2 linked regions of the Schizosaccharomyces pombe genome follow. The gene in region 2 interacts genetically with the main gene of each other region. Each region holds a gene or a part of one and is shown on either strand. Other genes may lie near its edges.

Region 1 (6,135 bases), 1.2 Mb from region 2:
GAGAACCTACCAAATGGGATGACAATTCATAGTCTTAAGTTACTAGTATGAAACTGCTTTCTAAAAAAGGGAAAAGTTAATCACGGTAAATCTTATTTAATTTTATGAGTAACTCTAAAAGTGCAAAAGACTCGTCAATTTCCTTCATTTGCAAAGTCTCAACACCAAAAACACAATACTTATGGTGAACCAATAACTGTCTGAGTAAATTTATACATAGCCATAAACGATTCTGAAGAGAGAGAGTGGGCGTCTCCCTCAAAAGGTCGATCGAGACATTTTAACTGTAGATTGTTGATGAGGTATTTAGCTGAAGCACTCGACAAGACAGAGGGAACAATAGGATCTTCGGTCATATAAGTCAAAAGAATGGGTATCTCTTTAGCAACTCGAGAGAGAGCGGATGGAAATTTTGAAGCCAAAGGTAAGAACCCTGAATGCCCCATAATTCCTGCTAAACGTTTGGGATAGGTAAGTCCAGCGTAAAGGGAAACCATACAACCTAGAGAAAATGACGAGTTAGTAAGCAATATACTTTTGAAAAGTGAAAACCATTTCACTTTTTTTTTGAAAATGCAATGACTAGCGAGTTAACCGCTTTCATGGCAGCTCATACCTTGTGAAAATCCGCCAATTAATATGCGATCACTAGGAATCCCCAAAGCAAGTTCTGCATCAATCAATTCATGCAATTGGCCTGCTGAACGTAGTATCCCATTCTCGTCCTCCCTCTTCATATCCGCAAAACTGTAGATATCATACCTAAAAAAGTTTTAGCGAACATTGTACTTTATCATCAAGCAGAACAATTACTTACCATGCTGGCATTTTCATGCCATTGTTGACGGTAACAGGGATAGATGGACTATATACAAAATAATTAGCATCAAAATACAAAGTATGTAATGCGAATTCTCATTCATTCATCACACATTACTTTAGACAATTGCATGATTAAATACATTCTTTTACTTACGCATTGGGAAAGATCCACTTAATATGCTTAAAATTCGACCACGTATTTGCCATAAAAGACCATCCTTGTCCACTATCTCCTAAACCTAAGATAAATGTGTTACTATTATGAAGAAAATATACGATATGTTTGTCTCAACATTATCATCGTTCATACCATGAAGGAAAATCACAGTGGCCGTATGCGCCACGCTGGGATTAATTATTACTGAATTGAGTTTGGCAGTCATAATGAAACGTTTTAAAAAGTACTAAGGGAATGGAGGTGTTGCAATAGGGCAAACACCAGTTTTATAAGACAGGTATTTGTATCAAAGCTAATTGAATCAAAAGCGAAGGTATGGTGTAAATATATAATATTTCCCTTATGATTTTTTCTTTTGCAGGCGAAAAATAATCGTAAAAAATGGTGTTAGCGTTAATCCAAGCGATATATGTATATCTTGAAACTAAGAATCCAAATTGAGTGCTGGCTATTACAATACGTTATCGCAATTTGTATACTAAGAATTTTGTTCCAAAGGTTTTTTTTTTTTGTTTATAAAACACAAAATTAGCTTGACTAATTTTTTTTTTTTTTTGTTATTTATATTGCTAGCCAAAGATGCTTTCTGCATTTCTTCAACCGCAGAGTCGTACTATACAATCCAACCACATTACAAAAATAACTTTTTATTTTCAATGGGAAAGTATTACTTGAGAATAGTTATAAAACAGACTGCTTAAATCTGTCAGCTGAAAACGCTTGTGCCAGAACATTACTCAATATCAATCGCGTATTCATATTCCTAGTACTGCACCAAAATCCTTTTATAAAAGCAATCGCTATACTTAAATAGTTTAATGCATTTGTCAAAATAATGGCTGGTGAATTTAGGCAATAGATGAATTGCATGTAAATCTCAAAAAAAAAAGGTTAAACTATCCATCAAGTAAGAATCATTTAGCGTCTGACAAACATACCAATAATATACAAAATTTTGCAGCTCCTATATACGATGGTTCTCGATTTACCTGTAGTAACAATCAAATTTTTATAGTCCTTTCCTTGCGTTTTTAGTCAAGAAATGCCTTAGCTTTTTTTAGTCGATAAGCCATCTAATTCCATAAGTCAATTAATTGTTTGATATTACTAGGAACGTCCAGGTTGTAAGAGAATAAGGGTACTAGTAAATCCAAAGCATTCCAAATGCAAGTCTAACGAATAAGTATAAATAAAAATAAAATTTCAACTTCCTGCTTATAATTTTAACAGTTCATTCAAGTTGTTATCAATTTGCCAGAAATGTGTCGACAAATGTTCTTAATGTTTTTTTAACGATGAATAACTTAAGTACCAACAGTGAATCAAAATTTGCTCCTTTTCTTTAGAGATAATTATGGACTATTATGTAAATAACCAAGAATGGCGCTTAGGTTAGGATACTGTTCCATTTATATTTACAAGTGGTTGACATAATATTGATAAACACATAGAGAAGAGTCATTAAAATATTAGTCATTAAAAAGAAGAGAAGAGGCAAAAGAATCGAAGAAGACAATACAGCTGAATCACAAGTCAAATCTAATCACGTTAGACGTAACAAAGGTTCGTCAGCAACAAAAATAAAACGCTTCCGTTTTATTTTACTCCCGTAAAATTAAACAAGAAAACAGCAATTCAGGAAAAGAGGTCGGTAATTAAAGATATAAAGGGATCATTTATGAGAGGAAGTGCTCCTTCTAGAAAGGAATTTACGACCAGAGTTTCTTAAACGTTTGCTATGTTGAACTAAATCATCGACAACCGTCTCATATAACAACTTATCGCTAAGAGCTGAATCCCTTTTATCGGTCCAATATCGAGCAACTTCAACAGCTTGCTGCAGAGTTGATTCTAGTAACTCTATATGCTGTTGTAAAGACTCATGAGATCGGTGGGTTAATGCGTCTTTGTTTATGCTGCATAAACGACGAGCAGCTGAATAATCTAAATATGGTTCATCCTCAGATTTTGGCAACGTCACGGAAGACAATTCTATTGTGCGTGAAGAATTGAATGATCCCTGGGTAGAAGGAGTAGGCAAAAGTTCATCCAAATCAACAGGAAGACCCATAGTAACTAAAAAAATATGCCTGATGCTAGACCTCAGCCAATCTGGCCGTTGCAGCACGGGCATTTCAATCAGTTTTTGCCAAAGAGACAATATACGATCCGGATCCAAGGAGGATTCTTCAATTGTTTTCGGAGTTTCAGGTAGTCCAAATACAGAATTGACAGCATCTTGGAAATCATCTTGCCAATCACCCATAAATGTACAGATGGGGATATCATGTTCAAATTCACCAAAATCGTCAAATTCGTCAAACTCTTCTTCCTCTTCAACTTTTTTCTCCATTTCATTGTCTACAATGCCTGATTGGGAAATACTAGCTTCTCTATTAATACTAAGACTCTCCGCCCAAACAGTTGATGTAGCGTCAAGGTCAAGTTTAGATGCTTCAACGACTTTTTGGTTTTTAGAATCGTAATCCTCTACAGGATTTAAATCATCTTCTTCAAGAAGGTGTGGATCTATTTTTGTATCAGCTCCCTCTTCGCCATCTACATCTTCCTTCAACGATGAAGATGCAGAAGGGTCAATATTTACTTCAGAGTTGCCGCCGTCAGATTTCTTCTCTTCTTCTAAACCCAACACAGGTGATTCCCTTGATAATATTGGCGGACTTGCCATAGGTATACAAATGGAACGTTTTATGCTCCCAATCTGTTTAATGTTCACGCGAAGTGTTTCTTTCTCTTTGCTCAGATGGTAAGTAACGTCAAACAATGAGCTGTACAATCTAACATAGTGATACGCTACATTACACTCACAATAAAAGTGCAAATAAATACTAGAGGACGACTGTCTATGCTGCTTGTTAGCAGGAACATTTGGTTGTTTTAAAATTGTTTGATTGTCCAGCTAAAATTTAAATCTCTAGTAGAATAAAGGGGAATACGTATGTTTTTTTATGTGAACAGTTTCACCTAACTGGCAAAATTAGAATAGATTGGCGAAATCTTAAAAAAGATTTAAGCATGACTTGGATAATCCTTAAGTAGTTGGGATTGTCTATTATTTTAATGGATTGGAATAAAAATCGAAGACACAGTACAGTTGAGTAGGATAGCATTGAAAGGGTGGGTAAAGAATGATGAACGTAGAACCTTTTCATGATCGTCTTTTGAAGGGTCAGTAATAAATTTTAGCAGGGATCTACAAAAGCTAGTAAATGTGTATTCAGTGGTACCCATTCGTGGGGAAATTCGTTTGCTCTTTTTCAATTACTTCTTTTGCTTTTTCTAAATATTCATTTGCTTGTTCAAGTTCAGGAGTTCCTTCGTATGCACTGTCAGAAGAAATGGATTCCAAGTCGTTCGTCGCATTACGAAGACGTACAAGAGCATCTGGCAACGCCTCAAGATGCTTCTTCAAAACAAATTTCTAGAGGTCCAGAATGTCAGTACTTTGATTATTTTTTATTTTAAAAAAGATACGCTAAAGCGGAAACCACCGAAAAGTATCTTCAGCTTGGTAGAAACATCTTCTAGCACAACACGTCCAACGTTTATATGGTTTCAACTAATGCAACATACCTGATGCTCAATTTCTGCAGAATCTTCCCCATTATCAATTTTACTTTGTACACGTTTCTCGGCCTCGTTAATATCGATATGAGCCAACTAAACAATTGTTGAGGTCAGAAAATTCCATCTACAAAATCGCGATCCAAAAAGGAAACTTACTTCTACATCTTTAATAATTCTTTTAACGACATTAGTTTTGATGACTAAGCTCCTAACAGTATTTGACATGGTAGAAAATAAAATGGACGCGATATGCAAAGGAATAATGTTAGGTTGGATGATTTTCCTTGACTGCAGTGTAGGTAACGTTGGAATACAAAGGAATGCTAATGTTAGCGTGTGGTGATAAGTTACGAGAAACGATTAAGAAAAGCTAGTTCTAGTTAAGTTTTCAATTTCTTTTAAAGCCCTTTCCTTAAATTCCTAAAAAAGGGTATTTGATTAAATGTTTGCATCAAGTATCAGACTAGTTATTGATCGACAAACGTTTCATTCCTATATTATGTATGAGATAAAATTGCTCAGTTATTTCTAAATTTACGATTCACCGATACTTGTACCAAAAATTTCATGCTTTTATGGATGCTCAATCATATGGGAGGTTGAGCTTTTCGGGATTCAGCTATATGAAAATTTTCTAGCGCGTAATTCATTATATTTAGACGTAATTGCTTTTACAAATATTTTCCAAAACAAAAATTTCTGATTCTCCGTACACACAGTTATCTCCCAACAACCGAAATTGTTAAAAGCACGATTTCATATAAGGATAGGTTGATTGCTAATCACTCGAACCACAGTCTGTTAATAATTAGTCAACTTTGCCTAGCCAAAAAAATTCAGCTTCTATCTTAATCCTTGGAAAACAAAAAATAAAAAAAGGACCTAATACCCTCTTTCAAAGTAGATCCTGTACAAGATATTTAGTCTACTCAAAAAGCCGGTACAACGATATTAATGTCAACAGACTTCGGTATAATGGGACCAGTCTTCAATGTGAGGATAATAGCTAAAATCCTTTACTCTATATAGGACTTTAAATGGATCCTTGAATATTATTCTGTTTTCTAAAATGATTGATCATATTCTACGCCACAGATGCATCAAAAATTCAAATCATCGCTTGGGAGATAAAAGAGTGAACGCTTTTTCATAATCGAACAGCAACCTTTCGAACCCTAGTAGTCATTAGTATTTTAATCCACTTTTTTTTTTGCAAAGCTATGAAAAACAAAGACTGCAACCTGGTATAAGCATTTTAAACATATCGTACTTTGCGTGATCTAACAAATTAATCTCTATCTTGTCAGTTCACAACTTTGGACAGATACAGATGATGAATTTCGACAATTAAACATTTGCAAACAAGTCAAAGCTCAACATACAAGCATTCACTGTTTAACGCTTTTTGAACTTTCTCATTTCCTGAAACGTTTGTTTACAAGCTGATATAAAAAAAGGGATTGAATTGAACGGCTCAGTTGATATAGATTAATTTAAAAAGTGAACTCCGTTTAGAAAGTATCGCATAAGTTAAAAAATGGTATTCA
Region 2 (8,103 bases):
AGACCTGAACCAACTTCATCTTCGTATTCTATTTCAAGAATATTTTCAGAAGCCGCATAAGTTGCAAGCAAATGCAAAGCGTAATTAAATATTTTTTTCCGAGAAATACGAATTTTCTGGCGATGTAAGCTGACAAATTGAAGTATGGAGGAACTTTCGTTTTTTGATAGCTCAGGATTTCGGGACAAAAGAAAAGAAACGGATCTTGATAAACCAAAAGCAGTAGATTGCAATAAAAGATATCGAGTTTCAAACGGTACTAGGAATGGATATGCAGAGGTTAGTGATATACACCAGGAGGGTAAACAACCGTGAACAACAAGTTGTTGCTCTTCAAGTTGTCTATTCAATTTGGCACTCAACTTCCAGTTGCTAAAATCTGTAAGAATGTTTTCAATGTTGCCACGGAAATGTTTGTCAGGAAAGAGGGTATGAACGTCTCTAATCCCATAATACAAAATACTCAATAAATCCAATATTTCTCTAATATTTATAGAAAATCCCTCTGTTTCATTCTCATAGTTTAACTCCCCTTTCATATCATTGTGAATGCAATCAGGCTCACCATAAAATATTGGGACAGGAGTTTTCCAAAAATCATCGAGAGTATGATCGTCAGACAACTGTATATACTCATATAAAATTCTGAATATTGTTTTGTTTCGGGGTACCTTTTTACCCATCAAACTGAATACAAAATGTTCCTCGAAATGTGATGATGTCGAGGAGTCACGTCGCTCTGATGGCTCTGTTGTGTGATTAGGAGCATCTTGAGACATTGAGTCAGTATAGTCTCCTGAAGAGTTACGAGATGATCCACTCATTGACTCCCTCAAAGAACCGGCCTCGCGGAGGATTGAAAAACGACGTCCAGTTTCATTACGCACAGAAATGCGACTGTGAAGATAATTATCAAGTGTACGAATAGTAGCTAGCCCATTAATAGAAACGACAAGAGATCGGAAAGGTGGTCGAATTCTTGATCCCGGAAGAGCCATTAAACGAAGTTTAAACTGCCGCGAAAAAACATGATCTACCGCATTCTCAGTATCTGGGGGTAACGTTGAAAGTTGAAAATTCTCAACAGTTGAAAGTAGATTTTGCAAACAAAAGATAAGTGAAACTAAGGGACCATTACCAAATTCTAAAACTTCGCGTTCATCACATGTATTCATAGCTAACAAAAATGTTCGAAGAGATGAACTTCCAAATTTTTTGAGTGATAAAAGCAAATTATGAATTAATCCAGAATGAAGTAATTCATGACTAGTAATATTAGATCCTTCTTGAAATATTTTGGCTAGTTCTGAAAAAGATTCGTCTTGTTTGGTCTCACTTAATAAATGTTTAGACAATTGTTTAAGTTGAACTAATGTTGAGTTTTCTAAATTTTCTTCCTTATAATTAGAGAGAAACTCCTTGGCAAGGCTCTTTAACGTCGATAAATTCTTCAACTCCTCATGACGAGCAGCAGATTTGTTTTGTGAAAAGGAAATACTTAACTTTATTTTCTTCATGTCTGCATTGGTAGAGCGAACTAAAAATCCAACCTCCTGTACAACGCCTTCTCGTATAAATAACGAAGAATAAACATTAGGAAGTGCTTCAAGCAAAAATAGACACATTTCTAAAGCATCTCGCTTCAAGAAATTGTCAGATTTGCGTGAATTTAAAATTGAAGCAATGAATGATGATAAAGGAAGAGAACAAACTAAGCCATCTAAATTATTTTCCCTAATTGAACATAACATTTTCAATGCCGTAGTCACAGCTAACGATCGGATATCATGAAGGGGCACAATAAAATAAATGTCCATTACAACAGTTAAGAGTATACTGTTTAATCGATATAGTTTCGTGTTAAATTCATCAGACAAGTTACTAGTGTTTTTAGGAAGCAAAGAAGTTATAGCTCTTAACAAGTTTTCTATTAACTCGATCGGACAATAATACAAACTTTGCATTGTAATCATATCAGCCTGATGGGATGTATCAGAAGGTGGTATTCCACACAGCATTTCGTACATCACATCCGGCAAATTATGGTTAAGAAAAGGTAAAATCAAAGCAGAAGATGACTGACACAAAGATGATATTATATGTAATAGCTGCACTTGTAAGTGCATTGACTTATTTTGTGAGGTAGAATTAGTCAAAGCATTGACAATAGTGGTGATCAAATCCTCGGAAATTATCGTTTCAATTATGTTTGGTGAAGTTTTCAAAGATTCAATAATTGTCTCCAGGCAAGAATATGCCTTACTAACGACTATGGTATCAGAAGATTGTAGAATATTAGAAAGCAATGGAATAATTTCTTCTGCTGCGGAAGCATTGGATTCATCCAAAAACTTACAGCAATTAGCAGCCAGAGAAATAGCTGTCCGTTGAACTGTAGTATAAAAAAAATCAAAGTATTGGAGAGCAGCTAACATTCCTCTGTGTTCCAAAATACAAATACCAAAATCTTTAGAAAGCCGTTCTAAAACTCCTAAAGCTTGTTCAGCAATATCAATGTATTGCATATCAAACATTCTTTCACACAGAATGCGAACAATAGGACTATATGCTATTTTAGCCATACATAAAGGCAAAGCTTCCATCATATTAGATACACAGGTAGTACAGGATAGCATAAGTTGAATAGAGACTTCTCCGAAATCATAATTTCGCCCAGATAAGATTTCGGAAAAAGCCGCAATGTATGAATCGGTTGAAAACAATCCAACAAGCATATCTTCAGTACTCATAGCAAACGCTTCGGAAAGTTCTTGAAGAGAAAGCATTTGAACAGTAGGATCACTAAAATCCTTTATTCCTTCTAACAAGCGTCCAAATTGAACACCTGGAGCAGAAAATGCAGAACGAAAAGGATGAAAGGAACTATTGAAACGGTATGTCTGTGGACCTAAAGAAACATCTTCGTCATCAGAGTTCTCCAAATTACCGGAAGAAAGTATAGAAGACGCTAAACTTTGAAACTGATTACCTCTTCTGATTCTTCCCAGTTCATTTAACAAGTTAGTTTCATCGTATTCTTCGATTCCACTCATGTTCATGTTTTCTTGTTCATTAATAACAGCGGCTGAAGGATTAGGTGAACCGTTTTCGCTTCTTAACTCGTCATTTTCATTTTCATCTTCATCGTCTCCCTCATCATTGTTTTCATCATCGTCTTCTTCCTCCTCTTCATCAACATCTTCATCTCTTTCATAACTTTCACTGCCACTACTGGATTCATCGTCTTTGTACTCGTTATTATTTATATCATCATCAGTTCCATCATTAGTATCATCATAGACGTGGTCATCTTGGTCATTATATTGGGACGAATCAGTAGAAGTATGATAGTTGCTGGAGTCAGAATACGTAGTTTCATAAGAGTTTGAATTCCCAAACTTGGTTAAGCCACTTTTGTCATTAAAAGTTATGTTCTTTGGTTCCATAACTGATTTATCAAATGGAATGATATCAACTTCCGCCTTTTTGTCTAATGCAGAATCAACCGAAGCATTGCTTAAAACGCGTTCATAAGAATTCAGTATATCCGATTGCTTATTAAGAGGCAACACACCTTTATCGGATTTCACTAACTGGGGTTTACCTTTGAGCTTTTCATTAAAGGATTTAAAGACCCTAGTTTTGCTCGTTGTAAGTGGTTGTTCAAGCAATTCGGAAAAATCATGCCGCATATTTAAATGCCTTCCAAATTCCACACTTTTACTAGAAGGTGGTTCAGAAATTTTGGCAGATACCTCCATTTTTAAAAAATGTTTAGTTGCTCTGCGTTTCTTTGTAAATGGCAATTCTTCAGAAGTGTTTAATCTATGTTTGTTGTCGGACTTACTTCGTAGGTTTGGTATAAACACAGGTGAGTTGGTTATAGATTCACTATGTATTAAATTCGGTAAATTCGGAGTATTCGTATACGCTTGAACAGACATGAAATAACAAAATGTCGCTCAGAAAGGCTAATTTAATAAACAAAATTTGGAAGCCTTTCGGCGAGCGATTGGAGTGATTGTTAATTACAATCCAACAAAACAATCAAGTAATTTCTGAACCAAGGAGACAAAATCCCAGTTTTAATTTGATCCTTCTATGATCTCTTGTTTAAGGCGGAATGTGCTGTTGACATAGGGAGATGGCAAAAGCGTCGACAACAAGGGCGCACCATTATGTTGCCGTAGTATGTGTTATAGTAATACGTTATTACTCTAAGTACTATTGTTTTTTTCTGTCTTTTACTGTCATTAAATATTTTTAAATTTGTTTTTTATTTGCAAGATGCTGTATTTTATTTATTGATTCAGCTTTGATTCACACTCGTTAAACGTACTTTTGTAGTCGATCGATTGTGTTTTTACAAGCATAATTGACGATAGTGAAATGAGATGCTCACTTAGTATTCACTAACATACATCAGTTATATAATATTAAGTTTACATTCAAATTGTTTTGTACAGTCTAGCGGGTACGAACTCTTGAACATGGAGCGGACGTAATGAAATAGTTTCTAAAACTTTTAACAATTATTCAACAACACGGTGGGTCTAGTTTTTGCCCTAGGTAGAAATTTACTTGAACGTCGTGAAATTCTTTCGTAACTATTTCACGAAAAAAATAAACACAAAACAAAAAGATTTAAAATATGAACATACAGCGAAAAACAAGTTGTAGCTGCGCAATTACATGCACGAAAGGGTAATATTTGCGGAAAGTTAAATAATCTATCTTCTATTTTCAAAACCAGGTTGTTCGCTCAAATTCTTTTGAAGCACTAAACGGCGCAATCCGAAAAACGATAGATAATCGAAAGCTTCATCAACTACAGGAGTAAAGTCTTTTCTTTCAAAAGCCTTCAACATTGGGTCGGTTGAATAAACTCGTGCTGAGACCACGTCAGCACCCATCTCCTTCGCCTCACGAAGTGCTGAATCTAGGAGATCAAACGCATACTGATAAAATTTAGGAATGACAGTCCAGTGGACAATAGTTGGTGTGTTTTGGTATGCACCAGGAGCATTTGCAGGCAAGATACCTATAATACCAATAACTCGTTCTTTGTCAATGCGGGCCATATAAAAATGTTTAAGATTCTCTTCAGCCAAGCAGCCGTCAGGTTGATTGTCTTCAGTGCTAATCTTTGCATACACATTTCTACAGGGAAATTCAATCAACGTCAAAAAGACAGCGCTAACCAATATTAATAAAACAAAAGTTCGTAATTTTGTATTTCCTTCTACCATGTTTGTTAAGCGATATATCCCCATAAACACCAAACCAAAAACCGCAAGATACAACGGGTGCCAAAAGATTTTTTGAGAGAGATTTCTCGATTGACCGTTCAACGCATTCATGGCAATCGATCGAATACTCGACAGCTCCGCAAGGGTGGGACGACGAATATCAATTCTTTTACGTTGCACATTCGACATTTTTATGTAATTAAATATTCTTTTTTGCTAATCTTTTTAAAATTTATTGTCACAATATTTCTTTTACAATTACCTTCTACTGTGAAATTTAAGAAGATGGAGGTTCGTAAGTGGAGTAGGTAAGAATGAAGCCATTATACCACCATAGATTTACCCAACCCTTGGTTGTTTCAGTCAATTTTTGCGAATTGTAATTTCATACAACTAGAATTTGATCAAATCTACCCTCTTATTAAATGATTGAGATTATTGATTCTATTGATAAATCACATTTAGGGTCAACTAGCTTTTAAAATGTTTTTAGGAATAGAAAAGAATATTGTGACGATCGAAGTAACATTTCTAGCTGAAATAACAATTGGATTTATAAGCTATATCTTCAGTTACTAAATAATTAGTTTCTACAATTTTTTTAGGCTTGAATATTAAATCTTTAAATAATTCCTAGGATAAAAAGAGTATAATGTATACATAGGAACAGAATATACATTTAAAAAAAATGGCAATTGAGTAGAGAAATAGGGAAGGTAATAATGCATCGATTAGATTGCATAACAAACTTTACATGAATCCGAAAACCAAGGATAGGAAATCCATTTACAGTATTTTTCACTATATAAATTAAAGCTTCATAGATTACACTACTTTCAGCGTGCCTATTTTGACCAAGAGTGAAAATATACTACACTCACAAAACGTATAAATGCTGAATTTTCACTTCTTGCAAGTTACAAATATTGCAAATTTCACCGTTTTCGAAATTCTTGTATAATAGGGCCTTACTAACTAGCTCATAACATTATAAAGCTATAACACAACGATAAGTTTTTTGAGTGATCAAAATTATTTTACACAGTTAATTTGCCAATGATTTGGTTATATTAAGAATTATAGATACTAAATAGTATTACACTTTACGAATAACTTAAAAACTATACTAAAGAAAGAAGTTCCATTGCATTATCCTTATTCTTAAATAGCTTTTGAATATAAAAAAGCAATGAAGAGTACCCAAGGGGACAGAAACGTAAATAATTCCTGACACGTAGTATATAGTGATGGTTAACGGGATACAATATAATCGTGCAAAGTGCTAATAAAGTTTTGTTTCAAAGCAATGCAGTATGTATCTGCTATATTTTAACGCAAGTTTAAAGAGTTCTTTATTTGAACTATTTAATGAGTTTTAAAAAATGTGATTGATCCAAATATTGCAAAGAATAGTGTATTGAAATATTTACCTCAAGCAGCTTCAATAAATGTTAAAATGAAACACATACCCTTTTATTAACGTAAATTGGGTTTGTTCTTTAATTAGCGTTATTTATGTCGCTTTCATATTATAAGTGACACGCTACTCCTTTAGAAGATTTCAACAAACTGTACGGTCGAGCTAGTCGGTTAAGAACATTTTACGATTTTGCAGGAAATTCAGTCTTCTGCATAAGTTTTAATTATAAATTAATTTGTTCGAATGCGATTTCGTATACTCCTATTTTAATTCTCATTGATTAATAAAAGAGAAAGCAGTAGCTTAAAAATCGCTCTTCTTACTAGATTCACTAATTTAAATACATTTCTTAATTGTCTTTTACGACTTCATTGAATAGAAACTTCTCAGTACTTGAGGTCGTTACCATTTGGATTGTTTCAGCAGAACTTTCACTTCTTATCCTTTACCTAACTATATTATGCAAACGATGTCTTCTGGAATTGCCCGTCCGGTTCTGTTTTTAACTGCTCGCGAGGGAGAATATGTTTTGAAGGATGAATTTCAATTAGGCAGTTCATCACGTTCTACTCCTCAAATTACCGGTTCACCTTTAGATCCAAACACGCCTGTAAAACGTCTGTTCTTTATGCGGATAAATATTGCTCAATTCTCCCGTTGGGATTACCCCTATCCACGAGAATATATTGAAGAACTTAAGAAAATTCATGGCGTTCATCATGTTGAAGAGAATAGAGATGTCCCCTCAATTCTTGAAAATTATCGCAATAGTAAACGAAAGTCCCACAACTTTTCTTCCTCTAACACTCCTTATTTGAAGCTTCACAGACCGGCCTCTCGTGCTGGTGCTCCTTTAATCAATGCTAAATCCTTTATCTCCTCCCTTACATTTCATGACAACATAGTACGTTCTTTTCAGCCTTCTATTCATGGTAAAACCTTTGTGTTTGCTAATCACGAAAAATCGTTTTATTGGCTTGATGTGAGTGCTGCTAATTCCCATTCTGCCTTACTCAAAATGGAATTTCCAAGGGCATCACCTGTTTGCCATGATATAAATTCCTTTACTAAAAGTCCCAAGGGCTTGGACGTAATAATTGGGTTTGATACAGGCGACGTACTTTGGTATGATCCTATTAATTTCAAGTATTTACGCTTTAACAAAAATGGACAGCTGAATAGCTCCTCTGTTACCGCTATAAAGTGGGTTGCTGGCAAAGATTCTCAATTTTTGGTATCTTTTCGCAATGGTTGGCTTGTGCTTTATGACAAATATCGTCACGAGCAACCACTCCATATTGTGGTACCGGAAAAAAACCTAAAATCTTTATATCTTAGTTCTCCAGGAACCTTTAATATTCTCATAAGTATTAATCACCGAGATGACCGTAAACTCAATCCGGTTGCTTGCTATGCATTTTCAAAATCACCGAT

Evidence for each region. Genes that interact genetically often act in the same process or in processes that back each other up.
Region 1: mutations in SPOM_SPAC12B10.01C (region 2) and SPOM_SPAC8E11.06 together harm fitness more than expected from each alone (negative genetic interaction), as found in Schizosaccharomyces pombe (one large-scale study listed by BioGRID).

The regions. Positions count from the first base shown.
Region 1 is NC_003424.3:3,375,826-3,381,960, reverse strand, and holds SPOM_SPAC8E11.06 (uncharacterized protein), read left to right. Parts: upstream 1-3,866; coding exon 3,867-3,892; exon of another isoform or gene 3,893-3,939; coding exon 3,940-3,957; exon of another isoform or gene 3,958-4,002; coding exon 4,003-4,060; downstream 4,061-6,135. Other genes in the region: SPOM_SPAC8E11.04C (palmitoyl-(protein) hydrolase), read right to left, coding at 180-502, 617-762, 818-865, 977-1,061, 1,133-1,205; SPOM_SPAC8E11.05C (uncharacterized protein), read right to left, coding at 2,673-3,689; tubulin-specific chaperone cofactor A Alp31, read right to left, coding at 4,239-4,442, 4,595-4,681, 4,745-4,813.
Region 2 is NC_003424.3:4,571,498-4,579,600, forward strand, and holds the start of SPOM_SPAC12B10.01C (ubiquitin-protein ligase E3), read right to left. Parts: upstream 4,147-8,103; 5' UTR 3,945-4,146; coding exon 1-3,944. Other genes in the region: acetylase Sdg1, read right to left, coding at 4,731-5,438; bun62 (WD repeat-containing protein), read left to right, coding at 7,130-8,103. UniProt on the Schizosaccharomyces pombe protein: E3 ubiquitin-protein ligase which accepts ubiquitin from an E2 ubiquitin-conjugating enzyme in the form of a thioester and then directly transfers the ubiquitin to targeted substrates.